Tamandua tetradactyla: one gene and its partner. The protein of the gene in region 1 purifies or fractionates together with the protein of each later gene. This does not show direct contact. Links are inferred from orthologs where the notes say so. Each region holds a gene or a part of one and is shown on either strand. Other genes may lie near its edges.

The links.
Region 2: the proteins of KPNA6 (region 1) and RNMT purify together in Homo sapiens (co-immunoprecipitation; 3 studies listed by BioGRID and IntAct, counting the BioPlex papers as one, with this or other methods). This does not show direct contact. The link is inferred for Tamandua tetradactyla from reciprocal best matches to the Homo sapiens genes KPNA6 and RNMT.

What each region holds. Positions count from the first base shown.
Region 1 is NC_135328.1:193,718,163-193,725,476, forward strand, and holds the start of KPNA6 (importin subunit alpha-7), read right to left. Parts: upstream 3,103-7,314; 5' UTR 3,028-3,102; coding exon of another isoform or gene 3,009-3,027; intron 2,600-3,008; exon of another isoform or gene 2,520-2,599; intron 1-2,519. UniProt on the Homo sapiens protein: Functions in nuclear protein import as an adapter protein for nuclear receptor KPNB1. Binds specifically and directly to substrates containing either a simple or bipartite NLS motif.
Region 2 is NC_135344.1:77,650,365-77,657,282, reverse strand, and holds the start of RNMT (mRNA cap guanine-N(7) methyltransferase), read right to left. Parts: upstream 3,087-6,918; 5' UTR 2,961-3,086; intron 2,950-2,960; exon of another isoform or gene 2,836-2,949; intron 1,993-2,835; 5' UTR 1,928-1,992; intron 460-1,927; 5' UTR 437-459; coding exon 1-436. UniProt on the Homo sapiens protein: Catalytic subunit of the mRNA-capping methyltransferase RNMT:RAMAC complex that methylates the N7 position of the added guanosine to the 5'-cap structure of mRNAs. Binds RNA containing 5'-terminal GpppC.

The DNA.
Region 1 (7,314 bases):
TATAATTTATCCCTTTTTGTTTTGGTCTCTTCCCCCCCGCCCCGTTTTTTCCTATTACAAACCTAGTAGGAAGCTGTTGAGCACTTAGTGGTAGATAGAAAGAGTTTCTAAATTATAATTTTCACTTGAAAGCTCAAATGTTATTGATAACTGACACTTCATATACTTTTGAGAAAATGTAATGCAATGTAAAATGACTTACATTCATTCATGACAAAACTCTGTAATTTAGTGTACAATTTAATCCCACAAGTGATTTTCCTCCAGACATACTTTCAAGGGTTGACTCTGTACTGTTTCATCAAGGACATTCTTAAGTGAACCTGTGTTTGTTTTTTTAAAGAGTGAGTGATGAGGGTTGATGAATGTGTGCAAATATCAACACAGGGAAAATAGAAACCTGGACTGTAGTCTACAACAGTCTGCAGATCACACTTTGAAAAGCACTGCTCTAAGGTACAAATATAAGAATGAAGTGCTGGGTTGGTAAATGGTGAACTTGACCAGATAGTTTCAAGTTGCCTTCCACTGTTACCCATTTACACTAGCTTAGCAATACATCATTTCCACTGATACATATTCTGACCAATACTTGGAATTATCAGACTTTAGTCAACCTACCGGCTGTAATAAGGATTTCACTGAGATACTGATTTTCCCAGATTGCTAATGAGGTTAAATTTCATGTTTATTGGCCATGTATGTTTTACTTTCTGTGAAAAAAATGCCTGTTTCTATATTCTGAATATTTTTTTTCTGAATAGGCGGTCCCTTTCTCATCACTTTATAGTCCTTTAGTATTCTACTTATTAATCATTTGTTGGTTATTTGTGTTACAGGATCTTCTAACACTCTATGGCTTGTCTTTTCACTTTTTTTATGGCGTCCTTTAGCAAAAAAGTTCTTAATTTTAAGGTTAATATATCTTTTCTTTTAGTTAAGATATATTATAGATACATATATTATAGATATATAACTATGTATGTATGTATGCAGGTTCTGTTTAATAAATCCTTTCAGTCACAAGGTCAGAAAGATACCCTCCTCATGACCTCTAGAAATTTTTTTTTAATTTTCTATTTTTATTGTTATAAATGAAATGCCATAAATTTGCCATTTTTACCATTTTTAAGGGCATGATTCAGTGGCATTACATTTACAGTGTTCTGTGACTATCACCAACATCCATCACCTAAAACAGAAACTCTGTGCTTATTAAGCTATAACTCCCCATCCCCCCCAAGTCCCTAGTAACCTTTCATCTACTTTGTCCCTATGAATTTGCTTATTCTAGATATTTCATAGGAGGAATCATGTAATATTTATCTTTGTGTCTAGCTTATTTTACTTAACATGTTTTCAAGGTTTATACATATTGTCGCATTTACCTGAACTTCATTCCTTTTATGGCTGAATAATATTCCGTTGTATGTATATACCACATTTTGTTTATCCATTCATCTGTTAATGGACACTTGCAAAGATTCCATCTTTTCTCTATGGTGAATAATGTTGCTATGAATACTGGTGTACAAATAACTGTTTGAGTCCTTGCTTCAAACATTTTGGGATATATACCTAGAAATGGGATTACTGGGTTATATGATAATTCTATGCTCAACTTCCTGAGGATTTGAAAGAGTGCTGCACCATTCAATAATTCTGCCAGTAAAGCACAAGTGTTCCTATTTCTCTGCATCTTCACTAACACCTATTTTCTGTTTTGTTTTTTTTTTTGTTATTTAATAATGGCCATTCTAGTGGATATGAAATGGTATCTCACTGTGGGTTTGATTTGCATTTTGCTAAAGATGATTCTTAAAGGCTCCCAAGGTTGAGTATCATGGGCAGACTGAAAGGGGATTAAAAGTTGGGAAGAAGTGTGGCTGGATATATAGTGCAGCCTCCAGAGAAGCTTAAGTGAAGTCTATCAGCCTTCCACCTGCTTAATGCATTCAGGCCTGGCTCTACCACATTTCATCAAATAATAATAAGGGAAGCTCTCAGGCCTGTAAGACCTGCTTTTATTCTCTGCTTGTGTGACCTATGGCCTTGGTCTATTATAAAGATTTTGTTTGTGGCACTGCTCAAACAGCTCTCTTCACCTTCGTCTCTTCTCTACCCAATAACTATCCTCACCCAGTCCACCTTCACTCCTTCTAATCACTGGATCTGAGATCTGAAAAGCCTTATATTTTGAGAGGCAGGCCACAGAGGAAACAGAACTTCCGAGTCTGATGGATTTAGGTATAATTTTGGCTTTGCAACTTACAGTGATTTCAACATTTTTGCAACGTACCTCCAATTAAATATGACTTGGAATCCCAATATTAATTTTAAAATGTAAAGTAAAGTGGCTTTTGTGTTGGAAGTGTGCGTAGATGGGACTGAAGCCTTACAAACTTGGCTTTTCCCTTATTAACAACTCTTATCCTCTACATTTCTAACCTTAAACAATAACTAAATTTATTGCAAAAGGGATGTAAAAGTTTTATAGGAACACAGAAAGAGAAACTTACTCTGTGCCCTTTTTCTGGAGAGTTAGTGGTAATTGTGATGACAGAGTTTAAAAGAAAATCTTCCAAAGATAAAATGTGGACTGAGTTTTCAAGCAGGAGTTCAACGTGGAGGTGGGAAGCAAGGGCAGAAAGAATAGAACAAGAATGAATGCACATAAATGGGGCAGGGGTAAGTAATCTATGAGAGAATTTGATTTAAGAAAAATGAAAATGGAGGTTGAGATGGAGAGCTTAACCCTGGAGTCAGGGATAGAGAACAGATCAAACTTCAGGGAAGGTTCCTCTGGGCTTTCTGGAAAGCATTCTAGGGACTCAGTAGCAGCAGTAGGCTCTTAGAATGTGCAAGTGTCACATTTTTACTTACTGCAGAAAGTTCTAGGAGATGGCAATAGCCTGCCTTTGGGGTCCCTGATTATCCCTGGGCCTGAAGGCTCACAGGTACAGGGCAGATTTCTAAAAGAAGCACTGTGGACTGCTGTTCCCCATTACCTGATAAATGATTTTTCATGACTCTGAGCCTTGGCTTTCCCCCAAGGGTTGTCCCTCCTTCAAGCAGCACTGACAGTGAAGCTTGAAGGGGAAACCAGCTACTGTGTTTCTTTAGTTACCATGGTAACAAGAAACTATCACAAATATTTGTTTATGACTTCACTGGAGAAGTCAGACAGGGGAGATCAGATTGGAAGGAGAAAGGAACACAAGCACATCTACAATCAGCAACCAAAGGAAGGCTGGCTTGCTCTCAGGGACCCAGCAGACAAAGGGGCTTTTTCCATCAATCACTTTCTTACCTACTGGAGCTGGGTCAAGAAAACACACAATAACATAATAAATAACCTTTACTACATCTAACTGCCTCAGACTGATTTTTTTCTTCAGTCAATGAACTCTCTCAAAGTGAACAGGTCCCTCAAGTTATATCTCTATTTCTAGGAAATAAATATGTAACGATATCATGCATTTTCTAAGTTTTTAGAATGGAGGACCAGTCATAATTATACAAAACAGGTTTGGGTGCTAACTGATAGATGAAGAAACAGGCTCAGGTCACACACTAACTGGATAACTGCAGGGCTATAATCACTGGTATGTTTAAAATTTTGAGATTCATAAAATTTTTAAATTATGCCCAATTTCACAGAAATAGGCATACTACATATAGCCAGCTATCCTGTGTGTGGGATGTGAACAATGTCATAACACCTTCAAGTGCACAAATGTGTGCTTAAAGCACCCTGGACAGCTTAGCTGCTGGCTCCAGGATTTTTCAAACCGAAGTCTAATGTACCTGGTCTATATTTCAGAAAGTTTCCAAGTGATGGACTCTATGTGCATGAATATATTTCAATAAAAAAATATATATATATTTTTTACATGGGCAGGCACCGGGAATCGAACCCGGGTCCTCTGGCATGGCAGGCAAGCGTTCTTGCCTGCTGAGCCACAGTGGCCCGCCCTAAAAATAATTTTTTAAAAGTTCAAAAAAAAAAAAAGTTACCAAGTAATCAACTGAAAGCATCTACCTAGAAGAGCCCCCAAAAGCTAAACACAGAGTTAGTGGAACCAGCATTCATTTTCTAGCTAATGACATGACAGTCTTCAAAGGAGAAGATGGTCCCTTAAACATCATAAAGTTATCAACCTTTTCAAATTATGATTCTTGTCCTGCTGCTAAAGCTGAGCTGGCTGTCCTCTTTGCAAAGGAAGACTTTCTGATGAAACATTATTGCCACTGCCCTGGCACAGAGAATGAGCTAAGACTTTAAATCTGGCAGGCTAACTCTTGGGCATATGCTATATTTAGGAAGTTTTATAGCTCATCATGATGCATTAAGGTTATTTAATAGTACTGGGAGGACAGATTAAGGATATAAACTGATATCTCCCAACATCTGGGAGATATCTTCCTTCAAGAGTATAAGTATGAAAAAACCTGCCTCCTCCCAGGGGGAAATGGCTTTTTCAGCTGGCCCCTTCTTTAATTTTTCACCAGGAATTCTCAAGTAGAAAAATCATCAAAAGATTCTCAGTTAAAATGCTAAGACCCTTTGCCAGTTAACTAAAATGAAAGGGATAAGAGTGCCCTAAGGGATGATGGCAGAATAGGGAGGTCAGGATTCAGTTCACCCTCCAGGGAAGCTAGCAAATAGCCAGGAACTGACTGAAACAACTGCTTGCGGGGCTCTGGAGACCCGAAGAACACCGTACACTATCCAGCAAAGAGCAGAAGGAAGAGACTGATAAACTGTGGTAAAAAGCTGTGAGTAGATCTCTCTATGTTGCAGAGGCTGGGATCTACCCACCACTGGCACAAAGGGCTACCTTAGGGAGCCACTCCCTGGCTGGAAATAGAAGCCCTCTATCCCATGAATGCGAGAGGGAGGGAAGGACAGGGCCAGGCAATGTCTGCAGCTTTTGATTAGTGAATTCAGAACACTCAATTCTTACCCAGAACAGAAAGGGGTGGGGGGAGCGGGGAACAGGCACTGACTCCAGCTTTTGATTAGTGAATTCAAAGTGAATTCTAGCTCCTGAGAAAATACAGCTACAGGTTTGTTTGTTTTTTTAATATCAAAAATATATTTACTTCAATATGTCTAAAATATTATTGTTTTAATATGTGATCAATTTAAAAATTATTCTTTTCTTTTTGGTACTAAGTCTTCATAATTCATTGTGTATTTTACACCTATATACATCTCAATTTAGACTAGTCACAGTTCAAGTGCTCAATTGCCATATCTGACTTGTGGCTACTATACTGGACAGAACAGGTCCAGAGTTACTTTACTTGCACCCTCCTTCTCATCCAATCTGTCACTCCCATCAGGTGCAGAGACAGTGTCAGGGACTTGAGGGGTGGGCCAGAAAAGTTCAGGGGCCTTACTGTTGTCATGAAGCCTTCATGAGCCTACCAGGAAAAATAAAATTACTATTTTTCTGAACCATCCTCATCTATTCCAGTATCCCTCTTTTTGTACCTCCTGGAATCAAGCAAAAGTGCTCTCAAACAACTTGGCTCATACTTGATTATAGCCTCTAGTCTACTGTGCCTTACAGTCAGTTTGTTTTAAACTCCCCACCTAGATTACAAGTGTTTTAATGGCAGGTCCAACACCTTGTCATTTCTCCTTGTAAGTGTGCCAACATTAGGATTCTGCTTAGGAGGTGTCAACTGAGCCTTTTCCTTCTCCACAATACTCTTACCATGCTCCCTTCTTCATCCAAGATTTCAGTATCTCTTTCCTTGACTAATACAGCATTCTCCAAAGTAGTAAAACTGCTTCTCATCTTCTTCTCTTCCCATCTTTTACTCACTGATGCTGAATTAATAACAGCTACAGTTTTAACCTGCCCAGGGCAGAAATCAACTGGCAGCCTCCATTTCAACCCCACTCCAAGCAGGGGAGGAAGTGGGACTGGTTGAGACACAGTAGCTTCTCTGGTCAGTTGGGGACAGGTTTCTAAAGGGCAGCTCTTCCCCAAGAAAAGGGGAGAAGTGGGCAAGGGCCAGGGCAGTTAGCAGCAGTAAGAGACTTCAGCTTCCAGGGCCTGGGATCTGGGCAACAGTTTCCAACCCTCCCTGGCCAAAGCCCAAAGAGGCTGGCAACTTCTGTTTCAACCACACCCCCAGCAGAGGCAATCGGCTGAGAATTAAAGGCACAGTACCATTTTAGGACTATGGGGAACAGGTGGCTGAAGAGTGCCAGCTGCTGGGCACACCAGGGAAGTACATATCAGAAAGATATAGAGTAGACTGACATCCTTCTGGGTCTTCCCCGCACACCCCCAGAGTACTTTGGAACTATCTACACCACTTCTGTGGGTCCTGGGCCTGTTTTGACAGAGAAAAACGGACAGGGACCCTCCTCCCAGAAAAAGCCCTCCTGGTAAAAGCAACTAGAAATAATGAAAACAGTGTTAAAAACATATAAAGGCAAATAAAAAAACATATGAGGCAAATAAAAAACAAACAGAGGGCAGGCCACAATGGCTCAATAGGAGAGTTCTTGCCTGCCATGCTGGAGACCCGGGTTTGATGCCTGGTGCCTGCCCATGCAAACAACAACAAAAACAGAATAGATCAACATTCCCAGAGGAGAACAAGGGAAAGGAAGCTTTCTCCCGGGAGTGAAACAGTTGCACAAATATTACAATCTCAAAAATTATACCATATATCCAGAGTAAGAATCAGATGAATAAGAGCTGAAAAAATCTGATCAAACACAAACTATTCTAAAGGTCTATAACAAGTTGAACCAGTATCAAAGAAGAGCTATAGCACAAAGACAACAAGAAAATCCTTGGCAGGAGAGAGAGAAACTGATCTTCAGAATATACTCATCAAGTGAATCAGTTGCCTAAGCACCAGCAAAAAATTACAAACCATACTATGAAACAGGAAAATATGGCCCAGTCAAAAGAACAAACTAAAACTTCAGATGAGATACAGGAATTGAAACAACTAATTAATGACATTCAAACAAATCTCCTATATCAATTCAAGGAGATGGAGAAAAATATGGCAAAAGAGATAAAGGATATAAAGACAATGCTAGGTGAGGATAAAAAGAATTTGAAAACATGCAAAAAAAAAAAAAAAAACCCACAAAACAAGCAAGCAAAAAATCCCAGTACATATGGGAATGAAAGGCACAATAGAAGAGGTAAAAAATACACTGGAGGCAAACAATAGCAGATGTAAAGAAGCAGAAGCAATTATCAGTGAACTAGAGGATAAGACATCCACAATTTTACAGACAAAAGATAAGAAAGGGGAAAAAATGGAAAAAAT
Region 2 (6,918 bases), on another chromosome or scaffold:
CATCCTCAAGTGCTAACTTTCTCTTTTTCTGAGTTCCATCTTCAGTAGATGTTTCATCTTTTGGAACATCATCAGCTTCTATTTTTCTTTTTTTTGTAATACCTTCGTCATCACCAGAACCTTTCTCCTCTAGGACTATTTCAGGATCAAGTTTTCTTTGCTTGGCTGGAATGTCTTCCCCACAACTTGAACTTCCCTTTATAAGATCATCTTCAAAATCCATCCTTCTCTTTTTCGGTGTGTCTATTTTGTCAGAGGAATGAGCATTTTCGGTAGGCCCAGTGCCAGAAGCTGTAGTGTTTTCATTATTAACGAATGAAGTTTCTGTTTCAGAATTTACGGATGCCTTTGACTCTTCCAAAGAGATCTCTTTACCGTCCTCTACTTTTGTAGAGTTTTCCATAGTTGGTTTCTTGAATTGATGATAAAATTTCATAAACCAACACTGAAATGAGAAAACTGGATACTGTTTATAAACACCAACGTGGACACTTTCAAGTAATTTTAAAAAGAAGTTAGCCATTTAACTTCAGTGATCAATTAGAAGTTTTAGGAAAATCAAAAGGTAAACTGATTTATATTACACATGAATATCTGAATATGTATGGTAGTAAGGATTATAATTACCCAAACATTTCTACAGTCTTATCCATAAAAGTCTCTATCAGCATCAAAACTGACAAATGATGTAGGGGTATAACAGTAAGAAAGTTAATTTCTATTCTGATTCTTAAGTTGAGTGAGTCATTACTGTATAGCACCCTAAGCTGGTGCTGAGGTACCCCTAGGGCACCCCAACAAAGTCCCAGGGGAATGGCAGGATATCTTAAAAATTTCAAGGGAAACCCAGTGATATTTGACATCTGGCAGATATCATAGAAACTACTAGCTTCAGGTGCATCAGTTTCAACAGTGCAGACTGCAATATGTAGCCTCTGACAATGTTAAAACTTTGTGAAGCTCAGACTTAAGCGATACCACAAGAGAACCAAGGTTAAACAGAAAATGAAGGTGGAAGTGTCTGACCTGATTTCAAACTCTGAGAAGTTGTATAGGACCTATCAAATGCACATATTCCACAAGTAAGTATTTGTGGTTATTTAATAATTAAATAGGACATTCTTTTGAAAATTAAGACATAAATACTTAATAAATTCTTTGGCATTAACTACTTAATAAAAAGAACTGCTAGGTATTTCTTTTGGCCTAGGGGCACTGAGAAAATACATACAGTAAGGGTACCCCAATCAGAAAAGGTTTGGGAACCTATAGCCAGGACTTCTGAAAGCCTTATTTTGTAATGAGTGTCTAAAATAGGTAGAAAATGAAAAGAGAAAAAATGACTTTGGACTTGGAAGTTTCAAGAACCAGCTCTGGAGCTTATTAGTTGAACGGCAAGTTAGGTCTCTTAACTCTTTCTCCTATGTGTAAAACGCAAGGGGGAGGGAAATAACAGATCTATCTACTAGACAGGAATTGTTAGGGTGATTCATTTTTTCATTCATTCAACAAACTTACTGAACTCCTACTAGAGAGAGGTTCAATGAGGTACTATGTGAATTGTGTTTTTAAGAAGTTGTACCCTTTTCCCCACTACTAAGATGTTAGACTGTATTATTCAAACCAAGTAAAGCAAGAGCGAAAGTCAAAAAGAGCACCAAGATTCAGCAAACTCAAGATTAAATGCACAGAACCTAAAAGATATGAAGCTGGGAACAAAAAAAAGACTCCTTTTGAGAAAAGAAAAAAGAATGATAACAGTTTAAAGAAATCTGACTTTAGGAAAGGGTCTCAAGGGAAATTGGCTTTCACTACCCACTTGTGTGAAGTAACAAAATACCAACAGGTGGCAAAATAGGGAGAACTGATTGAGAAGGGAAAAAAAAATCACTCGGCAATCTGCAGGGTAATTATTTAAGATGATTACCTGGTTAAAGTGGTCATCAAATTATCAAATCCCTATAGTCTCTTCCTCTGCCACAGTAGTATTTCCTAAAAAGAATATATTAAAGTTGTTTTTAAATTCAAGTAAAGAAGTCTGATGCATTTCTTTAGCGGAAGTTCCTAAAGTAAGTGTTGCAATTTAAATGTGCGCCAATTTTATGTACATAGGCCACTTTTTCTACAGATAAGATGTCACAAAAAACATAACCAATTCCGTCAGAATAAATGAGATACCGTTCCAAACGATTGCAGAAATGGGTATGAATGTTTAAAATTGAGAGTCAAAGTGCAATAATGACCAAAATTCAAATGGAAAAGCGCTGTCCCTCAGAATCCTCAGGGCTTAGATTAAAAGAGAGTCTACTGACAGTGGAGATGGATGTGCAGTAAATGACCTAACGGGCATTTGGATTTGACTTCCCACTCAGCTCCCAGGCAATCCTGGTCCGTCATTTCAGTTTCACCGAGACCGACTGAGGGCGCTGGGGTCGCAAGGCTTACGCTCAGACAGGGTAGGGTCTAACGTCCAGGGAGCAGCCCGCTGGACCCGGCCAGCTCCGGGGCCCAAAAGGTGCAATAAAGGAGAGGAGGGGATTCTTCGGCCAAGTTCACCTTTCCCGTCACCTGCGCGGCCGTAGGCCTCTCTTGCTTAATCTTCTGCTCAAATTTCTCAACCGCCGCTCAAGAGAGACAGCCCCCTATTTGCACCCCGGAGCCCCTCCCGGCCCACCCCTCAGGGCGGCCCTGGGTATGCAAGTGCACGCAGCTCTCGGGACTTCTACCACCCGCGCTCCCTCGGTCTTCAGTCCCATCTGCGCCATCGGTCGCCACAACTAGCATCCATTTTGCGTTGGGCTAAGGGCACGATGAACCCTCGAGTCAGGTACTTACGGCCCAGGGCTAGAGCAAAGCGAGCCCAGGCCGGAGTCGAGGTGCCCCTTCTACCTACTCGCCGGCCGCGGAGAGGCTCAAGACAAAGGGAAAAGCAGGGACGCGGCTCCTACCGCTACACTCACCAACACAACCATCCACGATTCTGTTTGCGGAAACCGGGAACCTACGCCGTGACTGCCTTGTTACGTCACTTCCGGGGAGCCGCTCCGGGCGACGACTGGAACGCAGCGCCGCTCTGGGCCTCGAACTACATATCCCGAGGTGCTGCGCGGCGCGCCCTGGCTCAGGGTGGGACGCCGCGGGGACGGGACGGGCTTCCCGTGGTGCCGCGCGCGTGAACTACCCGTCCCGTGGTGCTCGTCGACGTTCCCACAGAGCACCGGCCGTGGCGCGGCCCTCGCCCCTGGACTGCATGTCCCGTGGTGCCGCGCGCGCGAACTACCGTCCCGTGGTGCTCGTCGACGCTCCCACGGAGAGCCGGCCGTGGCGCGGCCCTCGCCCCTGGACTACGTGTCCCGTGGTGCCGCGCGCGTGAACTACCCGTCCCGTGGTGCTCGTCGACGTTCCCACAGAGCGCCGGCCGTGGCGCGGCCCTCGCCCCTGGATTGCATGTCCCGTGGTGCCGCGCGCGCGAACTACCGTCCCGTGGTGCTCGTCGACGCGCCCACGGAGAGCCGGCCGTGGCGCGGCCCTCGCCCCTGGACTGCATGTCCCGTGGTGCCGCGCGCGCGAACTACCGTCCCGTGGTGCTCGTCGACGCTCCCACGGAGAGCCGGCCGTGGCGCGGCCCTCGCCCCTGGACTACGTGTCCCGTGGTGCCGCGCGCGTGAACTACCCGTCCCGTGGTGCTCGTCGACGCGCCCACGGAGAGCCGGCCGTGGCGCGGCCCTCGCCCCTGGACTACGTGTCCCGAGGTGCCGCCCGGGGCACAGGGCGGTCGCTGCGCCGAGTGGGTGGGCGCGGCCTGTGGGCGGGCGGTGGAGGGCGAGCGTGCGCTGAGGCCCGCGGGCTATAGTTCCCGGCCGACGGGGCCAGGTCCCGGCAGGAGGCGGGAGGCAGAACCCGCCGAGCGACGCGCCTGTGCGCCCAGGAGCCGTCGTCCGGCCTGCGTGGCGGGGAGCGCGGTCCCAGGTCCGCTGAGGTAGCCGGGCGGGCCCAGCCTCCGAGGGGCGGCGGGAGGGTCCCGAGGGCGCCATGGCCTCTGCGCGGGGACGGGAGGGGCGACGGGGAGTCCGCCAACGGCCTGGCCGTCTCTCCGCGGGCCCGGTGGTCCGGATCACCGGTGCCGCCCGAGAGGTCACCCCGAGCCCTGCTTTGCAGGCCAGTGTCCTTGGGACTGCTTTGCCCCCTGACCTGACACCCTACACGCTTTGCTCTTCTCTCCCTCCACGAAGGGGAGCAGCCTGAAGCTCTAGCAATCGTTTTAAAAATAGACCAGAAGTTCCTTTCCTCCAGGAACAGCGGGTCGCTGCCTTTCGCGGTGCTGGGAAGCCAGGACCACGTGTGGGAGGGAGAAAGGGCAGGCCACACCTAGCCGTGCTGCTCGGGGGCGCGGCAGGGGCCGCTTCCTCCGCGTTTGTAGGTCCTCCCCTGTTTCCACCGGGCATGAGGACCTGTCCTCTGTTGGAAGTCTCCACCGACAGCGCCCTTGCTCACGGCTCTCCACCCGGTCAGAACGGACCGTGGATGACGATGGTTCGTGTATGGGAAGGTTAACGTGGTTGTGTCTCCATACCTCCCCACCTTCACGGTGTGAAAACGCAACCAGACTGATCGTTTATCCCGAATTCTTCGACTGATCCCTTTTAAAAGCAGCTTTGAAAAATGTCTTTTACCAGCTTGTCTTCTTGACCAGGTGAATGGAGTAGGCTTGGGTTCGATTCCCGGTGCCTGCCCATGCAAAGAAAAAAAGTAGGGAATTCGCTTTGGAAACAGTGTTCGCAGCCTGTACTTTGCAGTCTAGTCGCTTTTGGATTGTGATCATTAACTTTTCTAGGGTTATTGACCTTTCATGTTCGGGTCACTTTGACTCGAGAATGTGGCCCTTTTCTAAGAAAGCCATTTTAGTGAGCTATGTTTACATACCATACAATTTATCCGAAGTGTGCAGTAACAGAGTTGTTCATTCACCACCGTGGTCAGTTTTAGAACATTCCCATTATTCAGAAAAGAAAAACATTATACCTGTTATCAGTCCCTATTCAACCTTTCTGTCGTTTCCCAGCCCTACATAACTACTAATCTATTTCTGTCTCTATAGATTTATGTATATTTACACTGTATACAAATGGAATCATACCATATGGAGTACTTTCTGTGTGGTTTCTTTCACTTAGTATATATATATTTTTTAATTAGAGAAATTATGGGTTTGCATAAAAGTCATGTAAAAATCAGTATTCGCATATACCCCTCTGTTGACACTTAGCAATGATGTGGTACCTTTGTTACAGTTCTTGAAAGAATATTAAAATAGTTACTGTTAACGATACTCCATACTTTGCCTTAGGTGTATTTTTCCCCATATACTACCCTATTATTAACACCTTATAATAGTGATGTATAGTTGTTTTAGTTCATTGAAGAACATTCTTATGTTTGTACGATTAACCACCTTCATCATCCATAAAGGAGTTTACTGTGCCATATCCTATTGTTGCTTCCTATTGAAACGGAGCTCGGAAGATATTAAGGAATGATGAGAAAAAAAAGAAAGGAAGAAAGAAAGACACAGACGGGCTCGGGGTCTGAAGCTTGAGTTTACTTCAGACAAACTTCAGACAATTTTATTCTTAACCAGATCCTTGTTATATACCACAGGATGTCAATAGATATGCAGGCATTTCCTGAGGGAGCAAGATTCTTATCTTACAGTGTTCTTTATACTTAACATAACTGTTTGGGGTAAACGTTCTCTTCCTCGCAGACTGCTCTACATAACAATCTCCACAGTTTACCGCCACCATCCTGAGGCCAGCAGCTTGCAACAAATTCTGTAGGTCTTGCTTTAAACTCTTGGCTTCTACATCCTACCACATAGTTTTCCTTCCCACATACATGTACATAATTCATTGTGGTTAATTACACTAAAATAATGTGTTGCCATCACCTCTATCCATTTCCAAACATTTACAATCAACCCAATTAGAAATTCTGTGCAAATTAACCATCTGCTTCCCATTCTCTACCTATTCTATCCCCTGGTAACCTGTATTCTAGATTCTAACTCTGAGTTTGCTTTTTATGATTAGTTTGTATTAGTGAGATCATAAACTATTGTCCTTTTGTGTCTGGTTTATTTCACTCAGCATCATGGCCACTAGGTTCGTCCATGTTGTCACATGCATCAGGACTTCATTCTTTCTTATAGTGTAATAATAATCTATCATATGCATATGCCACATATTGTTTACCATTCATTGGTTGATGGGTCCTAGGCTATTTCCATCTTTGGGCAATTGTGAATAATCCCACTAAGAATATCAGTGTGAAAATGTCTGTCCAAGCCCCTCCTTTCAGTTCTTCTGGTTATATGCCTAGTATCGGGGTTGCCAGATCATAAAGCAGTTCTATACTTGACTTCCTGAGGAAACGCCAAACTGTCTTACACAGCAACTGCACCATTTTACATTCTCACCAGCACCGAATGAGTCTCCCTATTTGTCCACATCCTTTCCAACACTTGTATTTTTCTATTTTATTAATAGTGACCATTTTAGTAGGTGTGAAATGATAGCTCATTGTGGTTTTGATTTGCATTTTCCTAATCGCTGGTGTTGTTGAGTATCATTTTCATGTGCTTTTCCTCTTTGGAAAAATTTCTATTTAAAGTTTTTTGCCCATCTTTAGAATTGGGTAGTTTGCCATTTTGTTGAGTTGTAGTGCCCCCCCTTTTTAATTGTTTAATATAATATATACAAAACAAAGAAATAAAAAGCAATTGTTTTTTATTTTTATGGTTTTCAAAGCACTCTTCAACAAGTAGTTACAGGACAGATCCCAGAGTTTGTCATGGCTACCATACGATTTTTTTCTTTTATCTGCTCCAGAACATAGCCTAGAAGGCATCCTATAAAAAAA